Caenorhabditis elegans: one gene and its partners. The protein of the gene in region 3 interacts with the protein of the main gene of each other region in a biochemical or structural test. Each region holds a gene or a part of one and is shown on either strand. Other genes may lie near its edges.

Evidence for each region. The genes of interacting proteins can lie anywhere in the genome.
Region 1: of the proteins of npr-6 (region 3) and flp-14, one has a biochemical effect on the other in vitro, tested with the Caenorhabditis elegans proteins (one study listed by BioGRID).
Region 2: of the proteins of npr-6 (region 3) and flp-34, one has a biochemical effect on the other in vitro, tested with the Caenorhabditis elegans proteins (one study listed by BioGRID).

The regions. Positions count from the first base shown.
Region 1 is NC_003281.10:12,908,194-12,916,190, reverse strand, and holds flp-14 (KHEYLRF-amide 4), read right to left. Parts: upstream 5,682-7,997; 5' UTR 5,680-5,681; coding exon 5,548-5,679; intron 4,598-5,547; coding exon 4,474-4,597; intron 2,758-4,473; coding exon 2,628-2,757; intron 1,497-2,627; coding exon 1,451-1,496; 3' UTR 1,261-1,450; downstream 1-1,260. Other genes in the region: Y37D8A.16 (MARVEL domain-containing protein), read left to right, coding at 763-894.
Region 2 is NC_003283.11:1,026,645-1,035,736, forward strand, and holds flp-34 (FMRF-Like Peptide), read right to left. Parts: upstream 6,761-9,092; 5' UTR 6,742-6,760; coding exon 6,686-6,741; intron 5,009-6,685; exon of another isoform or gene 4,941-5,008; coding exon of another isoform or gene 4,885-4,940; intron 3,179-4,884; coding exon 3,062-3,178; intron 2,592-3,061; coding exon 2,526-2,591; intron 1,925-2,525; coding exon 1,862-1,924; intron 1,518-1,861; coding exon 1,502-1,517; 3' UTR 1,250-1,501; downstream 1-1,249. Other genes in the region: R09A1.3 (UPF0496 protein), read right to left, coding at 203-291, 356-421.
Region 3 is NC_003284.9:10,281,494-10,288,017, forward strand, and holds npr-6 (G-protein coupled receptors family 1 profile domain-containing protein), read right to left. Parts: upstream 4,242-6,524; 5' UTR 4,203-4,241; coding exon 4,119-4,202; intron 3,990-4,118; coding exon 3,903-3,989; intron 3,852-3,902; coding exon 3,757-3,851; intron 3,708-3,756; coding exon 3,622-3,707; intron 3,565-3,621; coding exon 3,452-3,564; intron 3,233-3,451; coding exon 3,056-3,232; intron 2,968-3,055; coding exon 2,792-2,967; intron 2,745-2,791; coding exon 2,607-2,744; intron 2,116-2,606; coding exon 2,042-2,115; intron 1,994-2,041; coding exon 1,910-1,993; intron 1,753-1,909; coding exon 1,658-1,752; 3' UTR 1,326-1,657; downstream 1-1,325. Other genes in the region: slc-9B.1 (Cation/H+ exchanger transmembrane domain-containing protein), read left to right, coding at 1-347, 390-545, 660-830, 885-1,016.

The DNA of each region.
Region 1 (7,997 bases), on a different chromosome or scaffold from region 3:
ACCAAATGAACACTTGCCAAATTTTGCAGAAGTTCGGCAACTTTTTTCTAAATTTCGCCAGTGTTCTAAATTAAAATCTTGGAGTTTTTCGTCAATATCCGCCATAATTCGCCAACTTTCTCCAACTTTTGCCATTTTTTATAAAAATTTTGCCAGAAGTTGCCAACTTTCGCTAGCTTTTTCCAAACTTTCGCCGACTTTGCTAAACTTTGTCAGTGTTCTAAAAAAAACGGAGTTTTTCAATTTTGAGTTCTCTAACTAAATAATTTCCCATTTTAGAGGAGTTTCAAAATTGTGATTTTTTGCAATAAATTGTCCATTTTTGCCACTAATGGTTTTTGACGGGTTAAACCTAGATTTTCTGAATTGTCCATATACGATTTACCCGTTTTCAACAAATTTAGGCAACTTTTTATTTTTGCCCATTTTCATTTTTCTGCCATCTAACGGCTGTCCTTTTTTTTGGGGAAAAAAATAATTTTTCTGAAAATGTACAAATTAAAACCGCTACATTCTGAAAAAGGGCATTTTTTAAGTGTTCGGAGAGCAATGTTGAGTCCTCTAACTACAAAATTGCCCATTTTAGAAAAGTTTCAAAATCGTGCAATTTTTCAAAAACTTCTGTCAGCTTTTGCCAACTTTCGCAAACGTTTGCCTGCTTTTACCAAAAGTTACCAACTTTTGCCAAACTTTGCTAAATTTTGCCAAACTTCGCGAACTCTTGCCAAATTTAACAAACTTTTCAAAATTAATTTCTTACAGGCAATGGCTGGACTCAACGTTGGATGCTTCCTCGGCATCGCTGCCATTTTCGTTGCAAATCTTGTCAACGATAAGATTCTACAGCGCTCGCAAAAGTTCAATAAATACGATCGTGGAGTTTACGTGCAGTAATTCGGCAGAAGTCTTGGGATTTTTTATTGCTCATTTTCATGTAAATTTCTAATACGATCTACTTATATTTATTCTTTTTTTTTTGTTCCATTTATCTCGAAGGGATCTTATAATTGCGTTTTTGTTCATTTTTTGGAATTATTGACAAAAATTCTAATAAAAAATTTACCGTACATTTTAAAAAATTCGAAGTGTTTTTTTTTCTGAGCATTCCAGCAAAACTTGTCAAAAAATCCAGATTCCCAGAAATTTCTACAAGACCCAGAAGTTTGCTTTCTTTAAATCGTTTTTAAAGTGGTTCATCGTGAACCTTGTTTAATGTCGGTTGCGCACTTATCTTCCTCTGACTTCTAGAAAATAACTCTTAACCAACGACAAGATTTATTACAATTTCTTCTTTCGACAATGCTGAGAGGGAGAGAGAAAAGAGATAGAGAGAAAAATATAGAAAAAAAAATCTTTCAAAAAAAAATGGTGTACTGTAGTTCCGTCTTTTTCTTCTTTTATTTGTATGGTTTTCAAAGATGTTTCTTCGATGATAGTAGATATTCCCTTCTTATTTGCGTCCGAAACGCAAGTATTCGTGCTTTCTCTTTCCGAATCTGAAAAAAATAGGGGAAATTTGATGGAACACAATTTCCTTTAGAGACATCGTGTGACATTTGATTTAGAAACAAACAAAAAGAACACCGAATTTGAGTCGAAAATTCAATTTTTGAAGTTTAATAGTGTTACGGAAAAGTGCGAAGATCAGAGCTTGTTCTCTCCGTTAAATTGTGCTCGAAAAATCACGGATTTCTGGCTTCCCTCATAAATTGAAATGGAAGAGTTTGCCAAACTAGGCCATTTTGGCTCGGTCATAGCTGGGGTAGATTTACGGCGCATTGCGTGTCGCGTCGCGGCTTGATTTTAGTTGTAAATCTAAATCACTTGTCCGTGTGGAGTACACGACTTTCCCACGCGTTGTCCGGCAGGCGATTGTCAATGGAGCGCGAAAAATGCAATGAGGAAGGCCTGAACCCCGTGAAAGTGGGAAAAAAAATTCGCGCATAAAATTCGATGCACAGACATCATATTTTACGCGCAAGTTTGTTACACGATTTTTCAGCCACAAATACAGGTCTCGACGCGACAAATTTTTCGTTAAATTCGAAAAGGTGTGCGACTTTGATTTTCATCGATTTTTCAAAGTTTTTCTATCATTTCCTCGAGAATTTGTCCGTATTATTTTTGTGTAAATAAATAATATTTTGCAGGACACTACAGTAATCTTTATAGGCTTTTGAATTCCTTCTGTATTAAAAAAAAACAAGCAAATTCGTGTAGAGACCTGAGAAGTATTACGGTGACGCAAAAATGACAATTTTTCGAAAAAAAAGTGCAATTGCGCTCCAAACGCTGCCATAATTTGGGTCTCGTTAAGAAAATTGGTTCCAAAAATTTCCTGGGTGTATTCATTTGTACGTTGGAGCGTATTTGCCCCCATCTAACAGTTGCAGCTTTTTGCGGCGCCATAATAACATCTGCCTACTACTGCCTGCCTATTGCCTGCTTATTGTCTTCCTACTCCCTGTCTGCCTACTGCCTGCCTACTGATTGCCTACTGCCTGTCTATTCCCTGCCTGCCTATTGCCTGCTTATTGTCTACCTACTCTCTGTCTGCCTACTGCCTGCCTACACCCTGCCTACTGTCTTCCTACTGCCTGCCTTACAACTAAAAAAAAATCACAAACCTCAAGTACTCGTGCTTCCTTTTTCCAAATCTGAGATACTCGTGCTTTCTCTTTCCGAATCGGAGGTATTCGTGCTTGCGCTTCTCCATGTCATTGTCTCCCTCGTTGGTCTCCTCCTCGAGAGCCAATCCTGCAACAACGTTTCCCATTGGGATCAGACCTCAAAGCAAGAGCACAACCATCATTAAGAATTTAAAAAGAATTTGGCGCTTTACATTTTAAAAGTCAGGGGCTTTTTCAAGAAAATGGCGGAACGTGATTGATAGTCTAGGCTTTCGGCTGGGTCACCGGAGGCTTATTTGATGCAGAGAAAATGAAGTTTGACTCATGCAGCTGGCAAATCGGATGTCTACTGTCTGCCTGCCTACTGCCTAGTTCCTGCCTACTGCCTAGTTTCTGCTTTCAGCCTACCTACTGCCTACCTACCAGGCCTGCCGGATTTTCTGCTTTTTTTTTTGAAATAATTTTGCTTTAAAAAAACCGAAAAATCGAAAAAACAAATTTCGGCGGCGCCCCTGTTTCCTACTTCTGCATACTGCCTGCTACTGCCTACTTACTGTCTGCCTACTGCCTGCTGCCTGCCTGCCTACTGCCAATTTTCGTTTTTCAGATTCCAATTTTACGGTATTTCCATTTTTCGGTTTTGCTAAGACAGAAAACCAAAAAAACTGGATAAGGCACCCCTGCTGCCTACTGCCTGTCTACTACCTGCCTACTGCCTACCTACTGCCTACCTACCAGGCCTGCCGGATTTTCGGTGTTTTTTAAAGAAAAAATTCGTTTTTCGGTTTTGCTAAAAAAAAACCAAAGGGAAAAAACTGGCAAAGGCACCCCTTCTGCCAACTGCTTGCCTACTGCTTGCCTACTGCCTACCTACAGCCTGCATACTACCTGCCTACTGCATGCCTACTGCCTACTGTCTACCTACTAGGCTTGCCGGTTTTCCTGTTTTCCGGTTTTGCTAAGACAGAAAACCAAATAAACTGGCATAGGCACCCCTGCTACCTACTGCCTGCCTACTGCCTGCCTACTGCCTGCCTGCTGCCAACTTTCGTTTTTCAGATTCCCATTTTACGGTTTTTCGATTTTTCGATTTTGCTATAAAACAACCAAAAAAAAACTGGCATAGGCACCCCTGCTGCCTACTGCCTGTCTACTGCCTGCTTACTGCCTACCTAGTATTTGCCTACTACCTGCCTACTGCATGCCTACTGCCTAGTTCCTGCCTTCAGCCTACCTACTGCCTACCTGGCCTGCCGGATTTTCTGTTTTTTTTTTTTTAATTTTCGTTTTTCGGTTTTGCTAAAAAAAAAACAGAAAAATCGAAAAAACAAATTTCGGCGGTGCCTCTGTTTCCTACTACCCGCCTACTGCCTTCCTACTGCCTGCCTGCTGCCTGCCGGATTTTCGGTTTATTTGAAAAAATTGTTGTTTTTCTGTTATGCTCAAAAAACCAAAAAAACCTGGCATAGGCACCTCTGCTGCCTACTGCCTGTCTACTGCCTGCCTACTATCTACCTACTATCTGCCTACTGCCTGCCTACTGCCAACTTTCGTTTTTCAGACTCCAATTTTACGGTATTCCGATTTTTCGGTTTTGCCCAAAAAAACCGAAAAACCTGGCAAAGGCACCCCTTCTGCCTACTGCCTGCCGACTGCCTACCTACTGCCTGCCTATTGCCTACCTACCAGGGCTGCCGGATCTTCGGTTTTTTTTTAAATTTTTTGTTTTTCTGTTATGCTCAAAAACAACCGAAAAATCGAAAAAAAAATTTTCGGCGGTGCCCCTGTTTCCTACTGCCTGCCTCTTGCCTGCCTACTGCCTACCTACTACCTGCCTACTTACCGTGAGTCTGAACGAGACGTTCAACTCCCTCCGAAACGAGAGCTCCGAGCTGAGCAAGAAGCATGCTGCTCTCGCTTAATTGGCACAAAAGCGCCTCTTGTTGATCGCCGTTGTTGGCCAGAATCTGGAAAATGTGTTTTTTTACAGTAGTACGTTTTTCAAACCCAGTGATTATTCCGGAACAAAATCCTTGGGAAAAGCACGAAAATTACATGGTTTCAAAAAAAAAACCAACCGGAAGCCTTGTAATTATAGGTTCAGATTTTTGTCGAGGACTACGGTGAGATGAAGCCCGTATTTGACAGCTCATATCTCGGCTATCTTTAGCTTTATCAAAAAGTTGTTAACTAGAAAAATATAGGTTTTTTCTTTTTCTGCAACTTTATAGTTTAAAAAATTTTGCTATCTATAAAATGAACCGAGTTATGATCTACCAAAGTGGAGTTCTAAAAAAACTTTGATCTACTACTTTCCAACCCCACAAAAAAACACATTCAAATCAAACAGAGAATAGTATGATCAGGTTAGAATCATCTAGATTAACTATGAAAAAGAAAATAGATTTTTTTTCTATTCATCGCAAGTTGTTTAATCTTTATTGTGCATCCAATCCTCCCCCGAAAAATGAGCAGAAATTGTGATCTTATTAAGTTTACTACAACCGAAACGTCATGAGGATCAAAAGAATATCATATTTATCAAATTTTTTGTCCAGAAAATGTGACGGCAGCACGTTCTTAACCATGCGAAATCAGTTAAGAAGTCTGCGTCTAAGTTCCCGCGATTCTCGTAGATCTGCGTAGATCAAACCAATACACAGTAGTCATTAGTTTTCGCTGCGTGATATTTTGCGCGTCAAATATGTTGCGCAGTACGCATTCTCAGAATTTTGAGAACCATGGGATGTATGACGTCACGCAGGCCCTAACTTAGTTTTCGAAAAACTTTTCCAAAATGCACTAAACTATCTCATTATAACTTCCACTTGCAGTTTTGAAAAAAAAAACTTTTTTAAACCCAATTATAAACATGACTTTAAACTTCTTAGAACAAAATGGTTTTTTTTTGACTCACCGCTTGACAATCCTTCGGATTGTGTGGAGCCTGTGCGGCTCCAGAAGCTCCGGCTCCAGCCGGTGCCTCCTGGCCACTGGCGGCCACGACGAACGCGGAGAGCAGAAGCGCGGTGGGCAGGCAGATCATCATATGAAGAGAGCTCTCAGTTGGAGCCAGAGGAGACTTCAAAATGGGCGGAGCTCGGTGTTGAAAGTGAAATGTTGTGGGCGTGGCTTGGTAGAGCTCGAGGAGAAGAAAAAAAAATGAAACAAAATTCAAGAGTACGGTAGCACTAAAAATTTTACGAAAAAAAAAACAAATACTAATTAGCCGAGGGGATGGGGTCCCCGGATTAGCAGGATTTCGCTAAAATTTTCCGGGAAAATTGGAAAAGAGAAAACACCTCAAACATCTGAGAATCTGCCCCGGAAGTAATAAAAAATAAAAAAAACCAAAAAAAATGTATCGGAGGTTCCGTAAGGAGGCCCAGGGGCATATTGAGTTAAGTGACAGAGGAGGTCAATGTTTGAACAGAGCAGATGTATTGATAGGTCAGGCTAGGCAAGTCTAGGAGTCTAGTGAAGAGTAGGCAAGGCTAGGTGAGCCTAGGCTAGGTGAGGCTAGGCTAGGCTAGGCTAGGACAGACTAGGTTAGGTTAGGCTAGACTCGGTAAGAATAGGACAAATTAAGCTAGGCCAGGTTAGGCAGGCGATGGATAAGTTAGGTAAGGCTAGGCCAGGCTAGGCTAAGCTAGGCAGGGATAGGTGAGGGTAGGCTTGGCTAGGCTTGACTAGGTTTGGCTAGGCTTGGCTAGGCTTGGCAAGACTGGGAAGTTAGATTAAGCTAGGCCCGGCTAGGTAGACATAGGATAAGATAGGTAAGATAAGGTTGGACTAGGTTAGTTAAGGGTATACTAAGCTAGGCTAGGCTAGGCTAGGTGAGGCTAGACTAGGTAGGCGTAGGATACGTTATGTAAGGTTGGCTAGGCTAGGCAAGACTGGGATTCTAGGCAAGGTTAGCCAAGCTGGGAGTCTAGGCTAAAATATGCTTGGCTAGGCTGGGCTAGGCCAGCCTAGACCAGCCTAGACCAGCCTAGGCTTTGCTCAAACTATTCCCAAATTAAACGTTCAGAACAAAAAAGGAAGTATAGAACCATCGCTTAATGTTGTTTTCGTGCAATTCTCCACGTGGTGCTCCGTTTTTTTTTCTTCTAAAATTTGTGTGTGCTCGTTAAGTGTTTTCTTTTCTTTTTTCACTCGAAAGAGGCTGCTCTAATTGGTCTGACTTTGTGAAAAATTGTAACTTCCAGAACAAAATAACACATTTGTCTTTTTTTGAATTGCCGCATAGTGACATAACTTGGGTCTCGTTAGGTTTTTGGCGACAAAATCGTAAATTCAAACTTTTTTATATCTCCTGATTTCGTTAATTTTTCTAATTTTTTCAGTGTGTTTTAATGTTTTTTGTGACGAAAAAAATCAAAAAATCAAAAAATCGAAAAAAATCATTAAAAATAACGAATAATAGCTAAAACGACCAAATTCCTAATGAGACCCATTTTATGAAGACGGAGCGTTCCGAGAGAGTTGGGAACATCGGCCATGACCGCGACGGAGCTTCAAAAAATTTGCGGAAATGATGCACAGGCTTCTAGCCTTCCTCATCGATTTTTTCGCGCTCCATTGACAATCGGCCGCCGGGAAAGTCGTGTGAACTCCACACGGACATTTAGTTTTACAATCGAGCCGCGACGCGACACGCAACGCGCCGTAAATCTACCCCAGATATGGCCGAGCCAAAATGGCCTAGTTCGGCAAACTCTTCCATTTCAATTTATGAGGGAAGCCAGAAATCCGTGGCCTTGGCCGCGGCCTAGGTTCTCAGTAAACTCTGCCATTTCAAGATATGAGGGACTCTGAAAGCCCGTGAAGAAGGGCCAATTTTAGGTAGTAAATAGGCTTCTTAAGCCCACGCATTCTTCAAGAAAAGTCGTCAACAACATCAGGTCAGTTTCCCTCGGGCTTTTTGTACTTTCTTAACCTATTTATCTGCCTTTTTCTTGTTTTTGTTTTCTTTTTTCCCATTATTTTTTTTTCTAATTAACGCTCATTCCAGATAGATTTTTTCCATGATATAACTTCTTCCTATGAGCTCCGAAAATTTTTTTTTGTAGGAAAATGGAAAATAATTAGAATTTGGAATTTTAGTCCCAAAAATCATCAAAAACAAAAAAGACGGGCGGCTCCCAGTTTTTCTGGAGTCTCTGGGGTATTCATTAGCGCGCGGAGCAACGTCAACTGGAATTTTTTCTGGGGAACGAAATTCGGTGATTCTGCCCGGAATTTGGGACGTTTCAAAGAAAAGTCCATTAGTAGAAGAGAATGTACGGTGGTGGATTTGATTAGAAAATGGACTAAAGTTTGGTAAGTACGCTCCAGTGATAAATTCTTGGCGCGAGAATTTGAATA
Region 2 (9,092 bases), on a different chromosome or scaffold from region 3:
ACAAACATTCGAATTTCCCACCAAAACTTTTTCTTAGTCAATTTGAATTACCCGCCACAATTTTTTCTCAAAAAAAAGTTGAATCTCTCGTCAAATTTCTATGATGAAATTCGAACTTCCCGTCAAAATTATATTTCTCAAAAATTTGAATTCCCCACCAAAATTTTCAAAAAATGAAATATTTTCAGTACAAAAAACCCACTCAATAATAATCTGCGCCGTCGATGTTCCAATATCCATTGATCGTTTTCTTCCAGAGCCCCCTTGGTTCGCATTCGTGGAGTCCGTTTGCTGAAAAATTTCTCATGACATTTAAAAATAATTTTGAAATGAAAAATTGCCGAAAAAAACCCACCTGTCCTGTTGGAGTTGCCGGTACAACTGTAATTTCATCATGCACAAATCCTTGATTTTCAGACATTTTTTACTGGAATTATTATAAAATTTCAAAAAATTGAGAAAAAAGGGACAAAATTTATAAGCAAAGACGTTGGCTCAACAAACAAATAAATAAGATTTTGTTTTCAAAAATAGACAAAAAATTATTTGAAATGTTTCGAAACTCGAAAATATTTTCAAGAAAAAGGTCAATAAAGTTAATAGAGTGAGGAAAATAGTTTCACAACTTTTTATTTGTTTGCTCGGACATTATTTCCTTCTCTGATAAGACCATTTCAGTATTGGTCACTGCTTTGATAAGGGGTTTCTTGTCGGAAATACATAGATCTGTCTCAAAGTTCTTAACTTTTTTCGAAGTGGACTCATTCGAAATTGTATTCATTTAATCTGACATCTGGCAAAAGTTTATTCTGAGGAAATTAAAATAAACATTTGAGATTGAGAATTCTGAATTCACTCGAAGCCTATGGCCTACGCCTATGACTTACGCCTATGGCAAACGCCTATGGCCTCCGCCTATGGCCTACGCCTACGGTCTACGCCTATGGCCTACGCCTATTACCTACGCCTATTACCTAAGCCTATGGCCTACGCCTATAGCAACCGTCTTTGACCAATGCCTATGGCCTACGCCTATGGCCTACGCCTATGGCCTACGCCTATGGCCTACGCCTATGGCCTACGCCTATGGCCTACGCCTATGACAAAAAAAAAGATCAAACTTCAATGTCCACAAATATCATATTCAAATCAAAAATTCAAACCAAAAAAAATTTTGGCGCACTAATATCCCGATTGTTTATTCGACCATTCTGTTCCCGCTCTTTTTAGATCAAATAAATTTCAAAACAACAGACTCACAAACTTTATTTGATTTTTTTTTGAGAAAGAAATAAAAAATAAAAACGAGTTGGGGGGACTGATTTGATACAAGACAGGAAGATGGTGAATGATGAAAAATTTGAATAAGCGAATTTTTGAATGAGGAAAATTTTTTAGAGAATAAATAAATTAATTAAATATCTGAAATAAAAACAAAACCTCGAGAGAGAAAATTTAGAAAAAAAAACGAGACGGCTACGGACGGGCTGACGTGATGGAATTATTTACGGCCAAATCTGAAAATAAAATGGATTATATTTTGTTTTAGGCCATAGACGTAGGTCATAGGCGTAGACCATAGGCGTAGGCCATATACGTAGGCCATATACGTAGGCCATAGGCGTAGGCCATAGGCGTAGGCCATAGGCGTAGGCCACAGGCGTAGGCCACAGGCGTAGGCCATATACGTAGGCCATATACGTAGGCCATAGGCGTAGGCCATAGGCGTAGGCCATAGGCGTAGGCCACAGGCGTAGGCCATAGGCGTAGGCCATAGGCGTAGGCCATAGGCGTAGGCCATAGGCGTAGGCCATAGGCGTAGGCCATAGGCGTAATCTCGAAAAATAAAATTAAAAATTACCGTAATCGTTCCGCATTATTGAGAGAAGCCACCAGGGAGTCTCTGTTCAGCGCACGTTTGATTCTGAAATAATTTTTAGTTTCAGGAGGATTTCCTCAAAAAATTTGAAAAATTTTCATCCCAATGACCCGACCAAACGCCACGACTTTCTGATTCCGAGAAAAATGTCCTTTTTTTTTCAAACTCTCTGCCAAATTTCTAATTATCTATTCAACCATTTGTCATTCGAATTGTACATTTTAAAATTGTATTTTGTTGAGAGGGTTTAAATCTTGAAAATTCGGAAACATCTTTTTATAGCTTTGAAGCTTAAGCGCCCCCACGTCATAAAACTCCTCCGCTAATCCACTTTCAATTAGTTCCAAATTTTGATCTACGTTCCAAAATGCAGGAACAAACAGGTGAAATTTTGATTAATCACTAATTTATTCTATATTTACTACTTCAAAATTTCACCTGCCTCCTAAATTTTGTTCTTCAATTTTCAGGCCTAGGCTAGGCTATAGGCCTAGGCCGGGCTATAGGCCTAGGCCAGGCTATAGGTCTAGGCTAGGCCATAGGTCTCGGCTAAGCTGTAGGTAACTGTAGGCCTAGAATATAGGTCTAGGCTATAGACCTAGGCTATAAGCCTGCCTAGGTTCTTTTACCCCAGTGAGAAACTCACAATGCGTACGGATAACGTCCTTCCGAGTAGAGGTACTGATCTTCCGATGATGGAATGATGACATTACTGAAAATCACAAATTTCTCATAGGCTACATTACTTTTATAATTGCAAAGTTCTTATTTCAAATGACGTGATGATTTCGAAGAAAAGTGGTGGGTTGTTGCTGGAGCAAACAAGTTTGTAAAGAGCATCTCCTTTTGCTAGACACAAATTTGAGATTTCCGGTCAAAACACACACTTTTATTGGATTTCGAAAGGTTGGAGTGCGTTGAAATTATTGAAAAATGTCACTCGGAAATTGAAAATGTTAAAAAAAACTTAAATTTTCAAGAAAAATGAACTGAAAAGATAGAAAAAGTGCACACTACGTACCGATCGCTGGGCTCCAAATTGTGGAAAAAGTTTAGAAATCGCATAGGTTTGAACCAGCGTCTAGAATTTTTTCCATGACCAACTAGTTTTCAAATTTCTGCGCGTCAAATCTGGTGTTCCTCGATGCACCATATCTTACGCGCAAATTTCCCAGTACTCACTTTTCTTCCCACATTGCGGGGTCCGATCGTTTGCCGTATCGAAGCCGTCCAGCATTATTGATAGCTGATGCAAATGTGGAAATGTCTGCTTTTTTCTCCAGTGGCAGGGATAGTACGCTGCAAAACTTTTTTATGTCGTGACACAGCTGAAACTATTGCTACAGTAATCCTTTTTACTTGAATATCATAACATAGTCTAAGTATACACGTGGTGTTAGAGTGTCCCATTTCGGCTTGATCTACGTAGATCTACAAAAAATGCGGGAGAAGAGACGCAGAGTTCTCAACTGATTTTGTATAGTTAAGGACGTGCTGACGTCACATTTTTCTGGGCAGAAAATTCCCGCATTTTTTGTAGATCAAACCGTAATGGGACAGCTTGACGCCACGTGAGTATACCGAATATAACTGTTTTAAAAAATTATATAATTTTTCCAAATTTTCGAGGATTTTTTATATACATTCTTAAAAAAGTTTACAGGGACTACGATTTTTTTTAATTCCAGCGCAAATGAACGGAAATTTGAAATTTTCAAATTTAAATTTAAACTACGCCCAGAAATGTATTAAAGGCGCATGCCCAAGTTTTGGTGGGTCTCGTCGCGATTTGTGAAATTTCAGTTTTTGATGCATCATGTTCGAAATTCAAAATGTATGAAATTTCTAAATAGGAAACAGGTTAAAACTTTAAAAAATTTTTAAAAAAATTTCAATTTTTAGAATTTTTGGTTCAACTATTAACAGTATTACTACATATCTGAATTTATCAAAAATTTGTTGATCCAAATCTAGATGGGGGATTAAGCCTAGTTTTTGATTGTTTTGAGATGCTTCCTTGTTGACTTTTTCACAATTTATTACTCATGAGCATTGACTAATACTCCAAATTAATCCCCTTTTGTTTCAGAATTACTTTTTTTTTGTGGATTTTCAAAAAAGATCATGAAAAAAATCCTACTTATCTCAATTTTGCCACGTCATTGAGAAAAGTTGAACTGCAATTTTTGGTCGAAAACATTTTTTTCAAACAGAAATTCACCTGCCATGATGTTTTGCGCAGACAAGCTAAATTTAGATTTCGAAAAGATTTAAATTTGAGTAAGTAACTGAGTAGTAAGTTCAAAAATTAGAAAACATCAAGTTTTTATAATTTTTAGATTTTTTAAAATTGTTCTGATTTTTTTCCAAAGTTATCCCAATTAATTTTGTGATTCTAAAAATTGTCTTAAACTGAAATGAACATAAGCTTATCCAAAAAATTAAAAAAAAAGCTCAGAAATTCAAACTTCGACCCAAAAAATTTTAACCAAATTTTGGATTTTTTTTTCTTTTTTCCAAAAATTCAAAAAAAAAACCTTATAACTTACAAATTAACACATATATTTAATGAGACTATAGTAATTTTTTTTTTGAAAAATATTGAGTTTTTTCTAATTATCCTAGATGATACTGCACCCTTAAAATAGTTTTTGAACAAAAATCATTAAAAAAATTTTTGCAAAATATTTTTGGCCCAACCAATGTATTAAGTTATAGATTTTGGTTCAGTTAAAGGTACTACAGTAATACTACAGTAATACTACAGTAATACACTATAGTAATGTTAAAATAATGTAGGATCACAGTAAACAGAAATATGGTCTCTTACCAAATTTTAAAACAAAATTTTCGTATTTAAAAAAATTCAAAAAATTCATAACCAACAACTTTCAAATTAAAAAAAATCATATAATAAAACTACCGTACTTTCAACAAAAAAAATCTACAGTACCATTCCCTACAGTACCCCTACAGTACCCCCACAGTACCCCCACAGTACCAACCTGTCAGTTAAAACCAAAGCAACAAAAATCAGAGCCATCAAAAATTGGAACTGCATGTTTTAGAAAATATGTTTAGTAGTGGAAAATGTGTGTGAGTGTATGTATCGGGTGTCGAAAACAGAATGAGCTTTCTCCCCCCTCTTGCTCGCCGAGCCAAAAGTGGGCGGCGCCTAATGGTGGGTGCTCCCAGGAAATGATGCCTGCCTTTCATCACATTCTTCTTTAATTTTTTCTTGTTGCCACGTCATCACACACAGCTACGGTATTTTTATATACTATACGATGAATCCATGACAATAATACGATTGTTTTACGACTTTTTGGGTGGTAAATTAGGTTTTAGGCTTAAAGCAGGAAGAAGCTAAACGGAAATGTGGTGCCAATTAAATGGAATGGTTTTAAACCGAAATTGGGTAACCGGATAGAATTTGTTAGCGGTTTTCGAGGAGGGAAATATGGAAAAACAGAAAAATATACACAGATATATACATGTATATATTTCAATTTTGAAAGCATCACCGCGTCACTTTTATTTGCGAAAAAACAAATTATTTTCCCTCTCTGCCAAAATTACAATTTCATAATTGGGTTCCTACGAGGGAGTGGGCTCAGGAATTTCTGAAATAGCTGAAATATTATAGTTTTGAAATTTCTAAAAATTTTAGCAATTCCGGCAATTTTTTTCGAAAATTTATACAGAAATATAGAAAAACATTTGTACTTTCTGATAATGGTATTACTTTTTTCTTTAAAAATTCAAAAAGCTGCTCAAAACCCACCTAAAAGTCAAAATGTGCCGATAGAGTCAGTGACCCTAGGTGCATTACGGCCGGCTTTGAGGCAGTTTTTCGGCAATTTCTCAAACATTTTAAATAAAGATAAAATTGTTTTCAGAAAGAACAGATATTTCTCTACATTTCTATATAATTTTCCAAAAAAATATTTTCAAAAAATTTTTTTGGATAAAAATGAGTTTTGTAAATGAGCCCCATCCCTCTGTTTGGAAATAAAAATAAAAATAAAAAGTAAATTTCCTCAATTTCAAATTTTCCAAAAATTGTTGATGCTATGCAATTTCCGACAGCAGGCACCTAATTGCCTGCCTGCCTTCAAAGCAAACCCCATGAAGAAACTTAATGGAAATGAAAATAGACAGAAATTAGCAAATATGCATTTTTATTGGAGGCGGCGGTAGGCAATAGGTAGGCACATAGGCAGGCAGGTCTCCTTCTAACGCGTCCACGAGAAAGATAAAACCCGTCCACATTTAAATTTCGAACAAGGTAATTTTTATCGACTTTTATATTTTTCTACGTCACATATAGTAATCTATATCGGTTTTACCTATAAAAATTGCGGGAAATTCATCGGTATGACGTCACTTGAATTTTACTGCGAGACCTTCCAAAAATACTATGTTTGCGAGTTTCGAAAGCCTAATTGCTTCCTCATATTTTTGAATACATTTTTTTCAAATGTAGTTTCATAATAAAAAAAGTGATTCTGCATAAATAAAATGTTGATCTAGTTATCAAAAAACCCTTCACCTGGTACAAATGAAATTTGATTCGTTTTTGCTTTTCAAAAACCAATTTTTGATCTAGTTTCATAGATTTTGACAACTTTTGTTTGCTAAAGAGCTCAGATTATTTGAAGAATTTTAGGAATATTGTACCAAAAAAAAGTTCAAGTACCTACCTGCTTGCCAAGGTTAAATTTTCTAGTTGTAAGCCTTTAGAATCTTCTTTAGAGCTTTGAAATGAACCATGTAATTGTCTTAAAAAATAATTAAAAAAATTACCTGACAGAAAGAAGAACTGTGAAGAAAATGAGCAATTCTGTGATCAAGCTGTGCATTTTTATTCTGCAACGGGGGTACCTGAAAGTAAAATTTTTAGAGATTGAGCTGAATTTCAAAGGAATTCAGCAAAAATTTCCGAGAAAATGAGAGTTTGAGGTGAAATGCGGCTGCTACGTGGCCTAGGAAATTGGAAACTCGGCCATGAGTATTTTTTTTAATTTAAAAACCTCGAGATTAGCATACAGTATTCATACTAGAGGCCGCAAAAAACAAAAAATATCAAAAATAAATTCCTGGCCGAATTTTCTAATTTTCGCGGCCACGTCTGGACCAGAGTCAGAAACTGCAAGATTCCTGTAAAAATTCGAATAATACACGTAAAATTGTGAAAACTCAGGAAATCCTTCAACAAGTCCGTCGTATTTCGGAATGAAAAATTCATTAGCACCGCATATTATTTGAGACACAAAGCGCAAAAAAAGGAAATTTCCGAATTCGAATACAAATTAATATTTAATTTTTTTATTCTTGTTGTTAGAGGGCATGATGTCAATGTATATGAGGAAATCTGTATAGAGAGAAAATAATTTAAAGGGCATGAGAACTTGATGCAAATCAAGCACGTGGTCTGCAAATTTCAAAATTTTCGGCAAAGTGCCGGTTTGCCGAATTTGCCGGAAATTTTCAATTCCAAAATTTTGCCGATTAGCCGACAATTTTCATTTCTGGCAAATTATCGGTTTGCCGAATTTGCCGGAAATTCTATATTCCGGCAATTTGCCGATTAACCGGAAATGTTAATTTTTGGCAAATCGCCGGTTTGTCGAATTTGTCGGAAATTTTCAACTCCGACCATTTTCCGGATTTCCGGCAATTTTTGTTTTTGGCAAATTGCCGGTTTGCCGAATTTGCCGGAAACTCGAAAAACGGCAAATTGCCGACTTTGCCGGTAAAAATATTTACCGCGCACCTCTGGTCTTAATACACTCATACATTCAGATTTTCAAATTTTCAAATGTTTGAGAATATTTCAGGTTTTTCAAAAATTTTATATAGACAAAGTTATTGGCAAAAAATCTAATTTTCCAAAAAAAAAGAGGGTTGACCTCCAAAATTGGCGAAAGGGGAAATTTAGTTTTCCCTTTTTTGACTTCAATTAAAAAAACTCAAAAAAAAATTCTACCGTAATTTCGGCTGAGTGTGACGTCAATTTTCTAAAATATTTCTTTACTACAGTTGACCATGGGAAAATGGAAATTTTGGAACTTTCGAGAAATAAAAATTGCCACGAAATTTCCTCGTACATATTTCATAATTAGCAGTGAGAATAAATGACGTTAGAGAACTAAAAATAATTTTGAGATCCCAAATATAGATTGTTGTGAGAACTACATTTGGGTAAACATATCGTTTTTAGGTAGAGTTTTTGTAAATTTTCAGAGATCCCATGAAAATTTGAAGACACAAGGCAAATTGACTGAAGTTTTGCACCGTTTATTTAGTTCACCATAAGGCCAAAACATTTTCTAATCAATTCCAAGTAACCAAAAAGGTTAATTAAAAAATTTCTAATCAATCAGAATCGTCTAAGCGTCATTCACCTGATTGATGAATTTGTTTTGGTATTGACAAATTAGAAAAAAGGTTAAGAACCAAAACTATCTAACAACAAAAAATTTCGTAAACTGGAAAACTGGGACTCGTTTTGGTTTAGAAATAGTTTAACAACTTTAGAAATTTCTAGGCCCTACAAGGTCCTGTGCAAATATAGTTGTTGTTTTTGGCATGCCTACGAAAGTACCTACGCCTGCTTTATGCCTACTTCAATACAAACCCTCCAGTTTACTGACAATTCACAAAATTAGAAAGTAGGTAGGCGTGCCTGCCTCCGCTGCCTAGCAGCTCTAGAGCCAACGTCGCTGATTGGTCGGTGTTTTTAGGGACATGAAAATTGAATAATTCCCTTTGAAATCGGGCTAGCTTGCATTCTGAGGAAATGTGTTTTTTTTTGGAAAACTCTAAAGATTTTTTGGATTACCGAAAAAAGAAGGTTTAAAGAATTTTCACCTAGACACAGGATTACTGTAAAGGCACAGTCACGTAAATAAGCATCAGACATACTAAATTCTAAAAAATTATTTGAAGCCGTCATGAGACGCCAAAAATAACATAAACTATTATTTACCAGACCACTTTTTGTGATACACTTTTCCATAAAAAATACGATTAGAAACCAGATCAGACATTTGATCTAATCCCGTAATTCTGACCTACTCGCTCATCCCCGTTCATTTCTCGAGAACTTGGACGCCCACCGACTTGGGAAGCCGATGTGTTTGGGTAAATAATATTTATGACACTATTTTGTGTTCTTAGGAAGGATAAACATAATTTTTATATTTTATTT
Region 3 (6,524 bases):
CAATCCTTCTCAACGCTGGAAGTATTGTATTTGGATGCATCGGCGGAATTGTACTTGGATGGATTCTGTGGAGATTCCCAAGATCAGATGCTCCACACACTCAATTCGCAAGAATAACTCTTCTTGGTACTATTTGTATTGCAGTTGTTATTGGAACTTATCTTATCAAGTACTCCTGCTCTGGTTTTCTCGCCGCTCTCATCACTAGTGCAATGAGTGCAATGCAATGGAAAGCAGATAATAAAGAGAAGTTAGAATGCGTTGAGTCTACATATAAATACATATGGGATTCCTTCGCGCTTCCACTTCTTTTTATCTGCCTCGGAATGAAGTTTGACTGCTCAACTGTAAGTAGTTAGAGATTGATGTTTTCAAAGTGTCATTTTCAGCTGACATGGGAGATTGTGTTTTTGTGCATTGCTGTTATTGCAATTGGTCTGTTAGTAAGAACGATTTTGGTAATGTTGGTAACACTCTCCTCACACATTAATTTCAAAGAGCAAATTGTTGTTGCTCTGAGCTTGCTTCCAAGAGCCACTTTCCAGGTTTGTGCACAGTTTTTTTTGGTATCATGTTTTTTTCACTCTATTAGTATGAAACACATAAAATTTCAAAATGTTAAACACAGTGGAACTTTAGCTGAAAATTTGCTAATTTAGGCCGACCTTGCTCCAACTCTACTTTTGATGGCTACACCATTCCCAGACATGGCCAAGGATGCAGCACTCATCTTAAAAGCTGCCATTTTATCTGTTCTAATCACAGCTCCTATTTTTGATATTCTTCTCAATCTTGTTGGATCTAAATGTCTCTCTCAATACAATCCACAGGTAGCGTTCTCACTCCCATTTTTGAAATGCAATGTGAAACAAATTTTCATTCAGGATGCGCCGGCAATTGAGAAAAATTTTGACAAAACCTATATGAATGGTGATCATGTTGATGAAACCATCTATGCCGCCCGTCCGAAGACATATTCGGAATACCGCAGTGAAGCTGTTATCGAAAGATATTAAAAATTTACCCAAACTTTTTAGATTTTATTACAATTTTCCTCTGAAAAAAAAAACAAAATAATTCCTAATTTCCCATATTTATAATATTATTATCAAGTCAATTCAAATTCAATTTAAATGACCATAACCAGGAAAAGACATTTCACCAATTTTCCAATTCGATTTATTTTACTTATCCACATCTACCAATTTCCCGTTCCAGCATGTTTTTAAATATGTCATTCTGAAATTTCGTCATGATTCTGTTATACCCTTCTTACTTGAACCATATCTGATCTTATCAACCACACCAGTTGAACCAATTTTTTGTAACCAATATGAAATTTCATTTACAAATATTTTATCAAAATGTGACAAGAAGAAGAAACAAAAGATAAATCAGCATCAAGCAAGATTTGTGCAAATACAGCAGTGCATAAGTTAAGTATAACCACATAGTTTAGATCAGGACAGGTTTGATCAGAGATTTAGCTGAAAAAATCTTAGGAAAGAAAAACAATATGACCAAAAAAATAAAATGTTGAATAAGTGTTTTTATGAAAATTACATATGAAGGCAAGTGGAAAGCGGATAAATGTACTGGCAAGTGACATGACTAAAAGCGACTTTTGTTCTGACTTTCCGGTTTTGTATTGAGCGGCTTAAAGCAGAAGCGTCTGACAACTTGATCCGTTCTCAGGCTCATCGAGATACACGATACTGCGCTGCGGCTCCACTGCAGTTTGAAGTGGACTCTCTGAATCTGTTTCTAAAGATTGCTGGTTTGTTGAAAAGTTCACTGACAACGAGTGCATGCAGGGAATGAATGGCTTCCTATTCTTCGTTGGATGTCGGGTGTAAAAGTTCTTAACGAAGAATAACTAAGGATCAAACAACATAAAAGTAAAACTCACCAGAAATCACCGTAACAGGCTGTTCCTCCACTTTTTTTTTTCGGTTTGCACGTCGAAACGGGTTAGTTATCATAGCGGTGCGTTCTAAAAAAAAAGCTAAGCAAAAATAACTTCAAATTTATCAGGTTTTACCAGTGATGACGCGAATTGGACCAGTTCCAGGACGACGCGCAAACAAGCAGGGAACAACTTTTGCGAACTCCTCACTGAAAATGAGCATTGCAAGAAAATGAAAATTAAATAATTCAATTTATTGAATTTAATTTAATTGAATTTAATTGAATTTTGAACTGTGCAAATTTTTTAAATAATCCTAAATTTACCAAAAAGTGTCTTTTTTTTTAGTTTAATCTGTTTCTAATTATAAGAAGAAACAGTGTCACGAGAGGAAATTTTATTGAGTATTTATAAAAAATAAATTTTTAATAAAATAAATGAGAACTGAACACACAAATGCAGTCTAAGATAAAACTTCTTGACTTTTTATCAATTGTATTTTCTAGCACATGTTTACGTATCAAATTTTATAACTTGTATTTTCAACCTGAACGAGAAGAAAACAACCCCTCGTAATCTTTTAACTGCAATTTATTTTCCAATAAATCGTTGAGTCACTAATGATTATCAATTGTTGTCTGTATTGTTTAAAACGGGTTTTCGACCAGACGGCGGCGAAATGCAAATCCCATAAACCCACCGGAAGGTCTCATTCATGAATGCGTAGAGGATTGGATTCCAGGCGGTAGCTGTCATACTCATCAAATGCACGGAAAGGAAAACAAAACTGAAGTAGCCACGCATGAAATTATCCAACTTGAGATCTCGGAGACAGTTTCTGAATTTATTTCAAATATATGACATATTATTCACTTCTAAACTAACAAGAGGTTGAATGGGAACCAGCAAATTGCGAAGATGACCACCATGACAATCAACATCCGTAGTAAACGCTTTTTGCGCTTGATATCGGATTTTCTCTCGGTCATACTTTGACGGCTATTTAGGAACAACCATATTTTTATGTAACTAATGGCAATGAGTACAAATGGCAAAATGAACTGAAAATTGATTTGTGCATAGGCATAGATATATGTATATATAATCCCCCGGTAATTTATACAAATAATTTCATTGTCCCCAACTCACTTGAAGAATCATCACCACAATTCCAAAAATAGATCGAAATTCGGCATTGCTCCAGTCCTCACTACATATCAGAAAATCACATGGTTCATGAATGTAGTTGAGCTTCATGTTGATGGCATACGGAGTGACCAGAAGCAATGAGCATAGCCAAATGAGGACAATGAACGAAAGGCAAGACTGAATTTGGTATGTACGAAAGTTTCAAAAAAATTTTAAAAATTAGAATTTTTTCCAATTACAAAGTTGTTCTACACCGAAAACAGGAAAAACTATTATTTTCATGGAGGTTACTTTGTTAACTGTACTTCAAAAACACCTTTCTATAGACTAAGAAATGAGAGTTTTGGTTTTTTGGAGTTAGGTTTTTTATTGATACATTGTTCCTGCTCAACTTACTCTCATGGACATTCTATCATTTATATTGATATTTGATGAGTTGTGCACGATCACTATGTATCGATCTATGGCTATAGCCGTAAGTGTCCACGTACTGATGAAGATACTTGTACCTGTATAGTTAGATGCTTGATCACTGCTTAACTTCCCGTCTATATGTAAACCAATACCTTGGAACAGGGGTAAACCATGACACAATCCACCTCCGAATATCCAATGTCCTATTGAGGTGTATGTTGGTGTAAGCCACAACGATCTGAATATAAGAACCGGATATATCACTTCCGATTTCAAAAAAAACCCACGTAAAGTTAACCATTATATCAGAAACTGCGAGATTTGTAATAAAAATGTTGGTGATCGTCTGCATTCGCTTGTTCGTCATCACAACGTACACCACCTTAAACACAGTTGTTGGAAAACTGGAGAAATCGAAAATGATATTACTTACCAAAAAATTACCGGAACTAGCAACCAAAAAAACAGCACAATACATAGAAATAAAGAATGGGCGGAAATATTCCATTTCCATGGGGTTCTGAAACGTGTTTTTTTAAAATAAAAATTACTCGGCTTCAGTTAAAATAATTCATAATCAAATAGTTTCAATGAACATTTTTGATTTTTTTTCAAACGTTCACGAACAATTTTGGACACGAAAACTTACGTTTTTGATTTTACATGTACTTTGATATGAAGGTGTTGTTTCATTTAGTATAGAAGACACTGAAGGCACGAGATCATTCGACATCTGAATCAAATATTATCAGAAATTGGGATAAACGAAGAGCTGAAAATATTAGAATCGGGAGATAAATCGAGTACATTTTAAGAATTGTGAACTGGATATGTTTGGTTGCGATGTGTCTCGTTTAGACCTCTTTAAGTTCATAATATTCTGACGTGGGCGCGGTGGAAGAGTCGGAAATGAACTTGATTTTAAGGAGAAAAAACGAGATTTGACACGTTTCATAGAGCAAAAGATGTTAGAAGTATTTTCAAATTTAAAGCTCCCAAAAGAATATAAAATTGAGAATATGTTAAGTCAGTTATGAAAATTTAATGATATTCGCATCTTTGCAATTGACACTAGAAGAGCGACCACATCTAAACTAGAAATCTACATAGTTCATATAATACAAAACTGATGTCATGATTTTTGAAAAAAAAAATCAATAAAAATTACAATATTAATAATACACTATTAAACAGATTCAATAGAACCCAAAGTTTTCAATGATTTTTTAAAAATTGTTTGTTTTCAATTCTTCTTGTCAATCAAATAAAAAAGAGAACATGAGCCAAACACTTCCCTCATTTTCTTATTTTCTCACTTTCTGTGTGAGACTTGCAATTCTAGACGCGAAAAGTGAATCTCAAAGTGAGAAAAGAGGAGGCGTCGTGAACTTTTAAAAGGGAAAGAATCCATATACATGTGAGAAATTTTCTCTTTTTCGAAATAAGCTGAGACCCTTCTTTTTTCCCTTTACGTTAAACAAACTACATACTCATTTATTTAAAATTTGCCTAAAAACTGGTACGCAAACGCACAAAGCGAATCGAGAGTCCTTTGATTTATGTTATGAATTCATCTTCGATGAAGCGAATTTTGAATTTCCTATAAAAAACAGAAAGAAAGGGTCGAAATTCGAAGAAGAAGACGCTTACGTAAGTTCAACAAGCTAGATTCAAATTATTTGGTTTCAATTGAAAATCAGAAATGAAATATGGACGTGGAGAAGAAATAGAAAAAAGATAATGTAAGGAGCCAATGGATTTAATCTCTCTAAATGGTGGGATGTGAAACATTCATGAGATGTAGGCTACTACGAACCAAGGATAATGTTATTATCTTGATTGATAAAGCTCTCATTGTTGCAAAAAAAAGGACTCGCATAGTAGGTGACCTTTTTTAGAACATTTCCTTTTGATAGTTTCGTCTTTGCCCTTGCCCTGTCTATGTATAGGGTTCATCCGTCTATTCTCTATTTTTCGTCTGGAAATCCGACTCCAATACCGCGGAAATTGAATTTCGACCGGGCGATGAGGGGCACCAGAAAAAAGTCGAGAAAAACTGAAGCACTCCTTGAGGTGGAAAAGGAGAAACGTTGCACATGAACTAAAGTAAACAATTCTGAGAGGGCGGATAAGCTTTGGTGAAACTGAGACAACCAAATACAGCTCAAAATTGTAAGGCAAAGGATAGAAATTGGATAATGAGCGTAGGAAAACATTTTTGAAAACAGAAATCAGAATAAATCGAAAATTAATATAAATTTTAGCTCAAGGAGTATACTTGATGACACAACGAAAATTTTAATGAAACGTCACATTTATCAAAATAGATAAGTGAGCACGGTTTGGAGAAAAAATCAGTTGACCGAGAACAAAAAACTCAGACGTTTTTCTTCTAATTCATAATATTTACTAGTCAGATAAAAATTTGATTCGAACGACGAAACTAAAGTGAATCAAATTGGTTGGTGAGTTCTGTGTTCTCCGAAAATGATGATGATATGTTTTCAGCAAAAAGCCTCAAAAACCATGATCAGCTTCACTTATTCACTCATATCTTCGGGAAGAGTTCGAAAAAAACAACAAAATCAGAAATTGTTTCGATTGTATGTAATTTTGTTGAAAACGTATTGAATATATGTGAACTTGTATTTGTATTTAAATATGCCAATATTGAATGGGTAAATTTAGGGGAAAAACTAGAATAATTGCATCTGCACTGTACAGCTTCATCAGCCGTTTACTGAATATATTCTAAAAATGTTTTCTACTTATTCTGACGATTATTGTAATATTTCTTGTATTAAAAAATAAAAATGTTGCGATTAAAATAGTACAACCTAGAAAATTCCTGAATTAACGTTTTTGAAGCAATATTCAAAGCCAGGAAATAACTTGTAGATAATAAACAACTTACACTTGAATTAGAAAATGAGAGATATTCCGTCGAAAGTGAATAATGGTGAGATGTTCAGACAAAATTATTATATATATATAGTTCAGACAAATTATGTTAATTCTATAAACTTGAGAGCAAAATCTTCTTTTTTTGTACGTC